2 linked regions of the Xenopus tropicalis genome follow. The protein of the gene in region 1 interacts with the protein of each later gene in a pairwise test. Links are inferred from orthologs where the notes say so. Each region holds a gene or a part of one and is shown in the gene's direction. Other genes may lie near its edges.

What was found.
Region 2: the proteins of klhl42 (region 1) and sertad1 interact in binary tests that used the Homo sapiens proteins (3 or more experiments, as listed by UniProt). The two-hybrid records come from large-scale screens. The link is inferred for Xenopus tropicalis from reciprocal best matches to the Homo sapiens genes KLHL42 and SERTAD1.

What each region holds. Positions count from the first base shown.
Region 1 is NC_030679.2:10,512,333-10,516,421, forward strand, and holds the start of klhl42 (kelch-like protein 42), read left to right. Parts: upstream 1-1,278; 5' UTR 1,279-1,764; exon of another isoform or gene 1,765-1,790; intron 1,791-1,809; 5' UTR 1,810-2,060; exon of another isoform or gene 2,061-2,240; 5' UTR 2,241-2,580; coding exon 2,581-3,410; intron 3,411-4,089. UniProt on the Homo sapiens protein: Substrate-specific adapter of a BCR (BTB-CUL3-RBX1) E3 ubiquitin-protein ligase complex required for mitotic progression and cytokinesis. The BCR(KLHL42) E3 ubiquitin ligase complex mediates the ubiquitination and subsequent degradation of KATNA1.
Region 2 is NC_030684.2:78,228,560-78,232,629, forward strand, and holds the start of sertad1 (SERTA domain-containing protein 1), read left to right. Parts: upstream 1-1,262; 5' UTR 1,263-1,284; intron 1,285-4,070. UniProt on the Homo sapiens protein: Acts at E2F-responsive promoters as coregulator to integrate signals provided by PHD- and/or bromodomain-containing transcription factors. Stimulates E2F1/TFDP1 transcriptional activity.

The sequences.
Region 1 (4,089 bases):
CCCCAGCATCCTCCAGCTCCCCCCAGCATCCTCCAGTTCCCCTCTGCATCCCACCCAGCATCCTCCAGCTCCACTCCCCAGCATCCTGCAGCTCCCCCCAGCATCCTCCAGCTCCCCCCCAGCATCCTCCAGCTCCACTCCCCAGCATCCTGCAGCTCCCCTCAGCATCCTCCAGCTCCCCCCAGCATCCTCCAGCTCCCCCCAGCATCCTCCAGCTCCACTCCCCAGCATCCTGCAGCTCCCCCCAGCATCCTCCAGCTCCCCCCCAGCATCCTTCAGCTCCCCCCAGCATCCTCCAGCTCCACTCCCCAGCATCCTGCAGCTCCCCCCCCAGCATCCTCCAGCTCCCCCCCAGCATCCTCCAGCTCCCCCCCAGCATCCTCCAGCTCCCCCCCAGCATTCTCCAGTTCCCCCCCAGCATCCTCCAGCTCCACTCCCCAGCATCCTGCAGCTCCCCCCAGCATCCTCCAGTTCCCCCCCCAGCATCCTGCAGCTCCCCCCAGCATCCTCCAGCTCCCCCCCAGCATCCTCCAGCTCCCCCCAGCATCCTCCAGTTCCCTCCCAGCATCCTCCAGCTCCCCCCAGCATCCTCCAGTTCCCCCCCAGCATCCTCCAGCTCCCCCCAGCATCCTCCAGTTCCCCCCCAGCATCCTCCAGCTTCCTTCCCAGCATTCTCCTCAACATCCTCCCAGGTAGGGAGGGCTGTTAATGTAAGTCATTTCTATTTGACGTTCCTAAACCTGAGTGTCCCCTCCCAGCCGGTCAGTTATAGCTCCTAATGCTAACCAATAATGGCTGCACAAATATGGCCGCCGCCGCCTCATAGAGGGACATGGAGACCAGATAGGTAATATAAATGCATTGGGCAAACACTTCTATGGGCAAATAAATAAATGTACAAACAGTGTCATGACAGTTGCAATAAAGGGTTTAATTTCTGGTGTCAGTATCTCTTTACGGCTTTTACAGCTAAAGTCTCTCAGTTGGGCGATAAAGGCTGAACTCCAACTACTATGTAATATCTGCTAGGGTTGCCTGTTCCCATGGGGATGGCGTCTGGCAGGGATATAGCCCTCCCATAGAGAATCCCAGCTGCACATATAAGGCCAGTGTTTATGGGGCATGGGGGGGAAAACACAATATGGGAAGGGGAGGGGCCTGTCTATGAAGCAGACGCTTCCATGAGGAGGTGCGTCTGGCAATGGGGGCGTGTCTTTGCGCGGCTTGTGGTTATAAGAGGGGCAGGAGGCGTGTCAAGTACGTGTTTGCGTATAAGTGGGCGTGGTCCCTGGCACGCAGGTGGAGGGGACTGGGTTTTTTACAAGCTTCTGCACATTCAGGAAGTGAAATGCCTGGATGGTCAGTTTGTATTGGGGCGTTCTCTCCATGTTGGGTAAACGGAAAGACTGGGCAAGGGGGGCAAGTGGGGGCAGCCAATGGGGCTAGAGCTGCTGGCACAATGAGCTGAATGGACAAGCTGCACAGATGGGATTCTCTCTCTTTCTGGACTTTCTTGTTACTCAGTTTGCTGAGCTGAAACGGGACCGGCTGATGGGTGGGGAATCCAGGTCCATTCTCTAGTTGGGCAACTGTTCCTGATTGGAGGGTGTTGCTTCTGGGCTGTTATTTTTGGAGTATTTTTCCAAGAGATTCCTTAATTGTCATGGGTGGGGGGTGTAAGGAACATTGGGCATTTCCTTTATTGGTTCTCTGCCTGATATTCTTATGCCCAGAGTGGGTGCTTGGTGCCCAAGGTTCTTGTAGGTATGGGTGTTTGATGCCCTGATTAGGTGCCCAAAGTTCTTGTAGGTATGGGTGTTTGATGCCCTGATTGGGTGCCCAAGGTTCTTGTAGGTATGGGTGTTTGATGCCCTGATTGGGTGCCCAAGGTTCTTGTAGGTATGGGTGTTTGATGCCCTGATTAGGTGCCCAAGGTTCTTGTAGGTATGGGTGTTTGATGCCCTGATTAGGTGCCCAAGGTTCTTGTAGATATGAGAGTTTGATGCCCTGATTAGGTGCCCAAGGTTCTTGTAGAAACAAGGGTTTGATGCCCTGATTAGGTGCCCAAGGTTCTTGTAGGTATGGGTGTTTGATGCCCTGATTAGGTGCCCAAGGATCTTGTAGGTATGGGTGTTTGATGCCCTGATTAGGTGCCCAAGGTTCTTGTAGAAACAAGGGTTTGATGCCCTGATTAGGTGCCCAAGGATCTTGTAGATATGGGTGCTTGATGCCCTGATTAGGTGCCCAAGGTTCTTGTAGATATGAGAGTTTGATGCCCTGATTAGGTGCCCAAGGATCTTGTAGATATGGGTGCTTGATGCCCTGATTAGGTGCCCAAGGTTCTTGTAGATATGAGGGTTTGATGCCCTGATTAGGTGCCCAAGGTTCTTGTAGGTATGGGTGTTTGATGCCCTGATTAGGTGCCCAAGGTTCTTGCAGATATGAGAGTTTGATGCCCTGATTAGGTGCCCAAGGTTCTTGTAGCTATGCGGTGCACAAATAGTGTGATGTTTTTATGTTGGTAGATCCCTTTTCTGGTTCCATTTCTGGGTTCTTGAAGGCATCATGCATGTATAAGTGATGTCCTCTGTAGAAACAGTTCAGATACTGTTGGGTTCTAGGTGTTACTCTGTACCTAGGGAACAGCTGGTGGCTCAGAGTGGTTTCTTCCAGTCACTGTTCCGGTCGGGCATGAGGGAAAGTCATGGGGAACCAGTGACTCTGCATGGGCTGACCCCTGAGGGCCTGGAAGGGGTTCTCCGCCACATCACTGGGGGTTCCCTTCTAGAAGCTCAGGGGGGTTCCGAGTTTGGTTTCCAGGTTGTTTCCTTGGAAGATCCAGAACGTTGCTCACTGGAGGATGAATCAACATGCGGCCTGGAGTCATCGGGCCCTTTACAGGCTGTGGTGGAAGCCGCATCCTACCTACAGGTCCAAGGTCTTCTGTCTCTCCTGCAGTCCTCCATGTCCCTGGACACGTGTCTGGATATCCTGGAGGTGGCGCAGTTGCATGGCCAGTGGGATTTGGCTTCGGCAGCTCTACATTTCATGGCTGCTCATTACCTTTCTATGTTGAGGAGGGAAGACTTCCAGCAGAGCCCAAGGTCCCTCAGAACTCGTGTCCTGGAAGAGAGGCTGAGAGGAACCCCAGCCCTTATGGTCCTGTCCCAACAGGGCCCTGACAACTGGGTGCTACTAAGGTACCTGGAAGGGGGAGGCGGTTGGCAAGTCATGACCGGAGAGGTCCCACAGAGTATGCTGAGGGTGCAAGGCTATGGGGCTACCACACTCCATAACTACCTGTTTGTGGCTGGAGGTAGGAGGGACAATGGGCAAGAGATCAGTGCCGTGCACTCGTACAACCCGAGCAACGGGTGCTGGACCCAGGAGCCCTCCATGAACCAAAAGAGGTAATCAGGTGGGGAATATTGTTTTCCTTAGTCACTTTGCTTTTCTGTTCTGGTTCTGTCCTATGAAGCTATGGCCACTGAGGAGCCCAGGATGCCAGTCTTTTATTCAGACAATTGCCTGGTTGCTTGGTCAGTGACCCTAGCAACCCCTAACTAGTTTAAAGTCTTATTTTACAGGTTATCTTCAAATCTGTCATTCACACCGCTTCCTGATTGCTAGGGGGAAATATACTGCTTGTGTTTGAGTAGCATTAGCTGTGGTGACTAGTGGACCAGGGCATTTTGACTGCTGGTGTTTTTCACCTGTGAAGCTACCGCAGGCCTTCGATTTCTGTGCACAAAATAAAATATTTTGTGGTTTACTTCCCCTTTACATACCAGGTGCAAGGTTCCACTCCAAGTTCTAAACTTGGATGAACTCATATAATAAAATAAATTTATATCCTGAGTCCTGTATTGAGAATCTAAGCACACCTTCTATTTTATCATCTATAGGAACCATATTAATTCCCCTTGTTATTGAACTACAACTCCCATCATCCTGTCAAACTGACATGCAAGGGAAATAGCAAGGTGCTGAATTGTGCTTAGTACAGGGGAATCCCTATGTGCCATAGTTTTATGGTATCTCTCTGTACAGGCTATGAGCAAACTTAGGGGGCTGTTCATGCTGAATTGT
Region 2 (4,070 bases), on another chromosome or scaffold:
GAAATCCACAGTTTGTATCTCTAGCAAAGCAAAGTTGATCTCCCTTATGCCATTAAGAAATGTTGCAATCGCCCCATCTGGACTTGCTTAGTAAATGAGCCCTATATTATTTTTGGTTTTACTGTATAATTATAGTGTTATAACTTATTCCACAAAGTGATTACAACAAAATAACATTGCAGTAATTGTGCACTTGTAATACTCTGCATAATGTACTTTACCCCTAACTAAACCTTCAGGGAAATGGCATAGTCCCCCAGCTGTTGTGTAACTACATTTTCATGCATTCTCTGATAATTGTAAGTGCAGCTGTGATGTTTTACAAGGGAAAATGTACAACTTGTTAACAAATATAATGCTCTGTATGCAATATAATCTGAAGCCTAGTAAATTTATACAGTCTGGGAACTTTCTTTCTACAGAAGGTATATAAGCCTGGATAAACATTTCTACAGAAGGTATATATATATATATATATATATATATATATATTTCACACTATATATCACTATATATCTCCCTTTAAAACAGTATCTGCTTTCCTCATTTTTAGACACAACTGATGGCAGAGCATGAGGGGGCGTGGAGAAGGTGGGATATGTGGGATGGAATAGATTTTGTTTGTATGTGTGTGTCATACAAAGCTATGTGACAAATCCGCCTCTGCAGGCAAAAACCTGAATCATCTGTGTCTTGCTTACACTTAACTGTGTCTCTGAGTCACAAGCAATTCAACCAAAGTGTAGTGGATGCAGTTCCCAAAAAAATACAATTCAATGCTTTATTTCACTATTAAAGGTAATCAATAGATTATAGATAAATCAATAGATTCTTGTGAGAAAATAATATTCTCCTTTCAGTACAGATTGAACTATAGGGTAAATATATTTATTGCCAAGAGTAATACTAAATGAAAGATAAAACTAGGGTCTATACAGATGTACTAATTGAATCATATGATATTGTGGTTTTTCTCACTATTTCAGAATATAGAATATTTATTAGTATACATTGCCACACATTTGAATTGCTCAACTATGCTCTTGTACTTTCATACAGAAAGCGAGAGATTGCGAGCGATATCGAGGAGACAAATGTTTTACTAATTGTAGGTAAATCAGAATGGGGTTGCTGGGCACCTTGCTTTTAAATTAAACAATAAAGACCGTTTTTTTTTTAGCAAACTCCGCTGTCCGGTGTGTTGGAGTTCCTTCAACTACTTATGATTTTCCCCTTCGGCTACGGGTTCGGGGCCTTGAGCGCCCGGACCACTTCTGGACTTTGGTAAGTTATTTAAATTTCGCTTCACCTTTTTTGATTCTCTTTAACTGCTTGGGATCGTATACTTTGGAGATAGGCTCGGGGTCTATACACCTGAGCCTCCACATTTTACCGGATACGATTTGTGTTACCATCCCAATACAAATTTTATAATTTATTTATCGCTTTATTTTGGGGTTTATTTTGATTTGAGGTATGTTTTTTGGGGTTGCTGTGAACATATCTTTTGCCTGTTTTCACCTGGTTACGGGTCATCTGAAGTACACACTCTGTCGTGCATGCAAGATTCTGTGTGCAGGCCCCTGGTGTTCCTGGGGGAACAGGACCTTGTAATTGCATACTCATAGGAGAGGAAAAATAGACATGTAGCTAGTGTGGGGTAGTTCAACAGATGTAGGGATTCAACTGGACAGGGACTCAGGAAATTATAAATGTAATCCCTTGCAGCACCCATTATGCAGCCTGAAACACTGATCAATACCTGTAGTATGCAAGTAAACCCCAAGAGAACTCAACATTATGTGTGCCACAGTAGTATATTTTACAATAGGGGAACATTATTTACTATATAATGTGGGGTTAAGTGTCTTATCTACATGACAAAGGGCTCTGGTGCCATATTTTCCAGACTTCTCAACTCATAACTCCTTACAAAATATAACGCAAAATACTAATTGCAAACCACCCAGATCCCTGTACTTAGTAATTAGTAGGATTGGCCTCTTCACACCATATAACTTCTTTTCTGTGCTCTTCCAGGCCTGTTACATCACTGTAAACCCTATACCGATGCAGTTACTCTCCATGGGGTAAATTTGACTATATATCCCAATACTGTCCAATGTGGGAGGGAATCATTTTATTATTGTAGTGCTGTCTAACTTCTTCCTACCACATGTTTGCAGGCCAGACTATTGTATTGTATCACTTGTTGCTCTTTACAGTGCAGTATTTTAGGAGCACTATATAGTATAGTGTGATGGTGATAAGGTCTTTTATTGTACAGTCTGGACAATGCTGTATTGTACAGTGTGGTTGAGATCAGACACTATACTGCACAGCTTGTGGAAAGTTTTGACCCATTTTGTATAGTGTGTGGTGAAAAATATTTTTTTTACAGTGTGGGAAAGATCTCTATGCTGGCCATACAGTTTGTCAGTAACAGAAGTAGACATCAACAGGCCCCACATACAGTCATTGTCTCACTGCCTTTCCCCTGGTAGTTATTTCAGTGCACAATGTTTAGCTTCTGGCCAACACCTGCAGGAGCATTTTAGCCACCACTGCCACCCTGAGGCAGCTGGAGCGGTGCCAACCCCCCCTCACCCCATCCTGATTAACTTTATAGCTTTGTGCAGTAGAACAGACAAAATTCCAATTTAAAAATCTGAACTTCAGCTTGTAAGTAACCAGGAGCAGCCTTTTGCCACCCATTGTAACATGCAGGGTTCTGCCTCATGGCTGGAGCTCCTCTAAACACCTGTGATTCAGAGAAATGCTAGCTAGAGGACTATTTGCATGAACTCCTATATAGTTACATAGGGTTGAAAAAAGACTAGAGTCCATCAAGTTCAACCCATCCAAGTAAGCCCAGCACACCCAACCAACACCTACCAATCTATACACTCACATACATAAACTATATATACAACCACTAATACTAACTGTAGATATTAGTATCGCAATAGCCTTGGATATTCTGATTGTTCAAGAACTCATCCAGGCCCCTCTTAAAGGCATTAACGGAATCTGCCATTACCACATCTCTAGGAAGGGCATTCCACAACCTCACTGCCTTCACCGTGAAAAACCACCTACGCTGCTTCAAATGGAAGCTCCGTTCCTCTAATCTAAAGGAGTGACCTCTGGTGCGTTGATTGTTTTTATGGGAAATAAGAACATCCCCCATCTGCCTATAATCCCCTCTAATGTACTTGTACAGAGTAATCATGTCCCCTCACAAGCGCCACTTTTCCAGAGAAAACAATCCCAACCTCGACAGTCTAACCTCATAGTTTAAATCTTCCATCCCCTTAACCAGTTTAGTTGCACGTCTCTGCACTCTCTCCAGCTCATTAATATCCTTCTTAAGGACTGGAGCCCAAAACTGCACTGCATACTCCCTTACCAGGGACCTATAAAGGGGCAAAATTATGTTCTCATCCCTTGAGTCAATGCCCTTTTTTATACAAGACAGCACTTTATTTGCTTTAGTAGCCACAAAATGGCACTGCCTGGAATTAGACAATTTGTTATCTACAAAAACCCCTAGATCCTTCTCCATTAAGGAAACCCCCAACACACTACCATTCAGTAGATAGTTCGTGTTTATATTACTTCTACCAAAGTGCATAACTTTGCACTTATCAACATTGAACCTCATTTTCCAGTTTGCTGCCCAGTTTTACAATTTTTTCAAATCGCTCTGCAAAGCGGCAGCATCCTGCATGGAACTTATAGTTTTGCACAATTTTGTGTCATCAGCAAAAATAGAAACAGTACTGTCTATGCCCACCTCCAGGTCATTAATAAACAAGTTAAAAAGCAAAGGACCAAGGACTGACCCCTGCGGTACTCCACTAACCACACTTGTCTAATTAGAAAATGTTCCGTTTACCACCACTCTTTGTAATCTGTCCTTCAGCCAGTTCTCTATCCAATTACAAATATTATGTTCTAGGCCAATATTCCTCAATTTGATCATTAACCTTCTGTGAGGTACTGTATCAAACGCTTTAGCAAAGTCCAAGTAGATGACATTAACTGCCATTCCCGCATCGAGGTTCCTG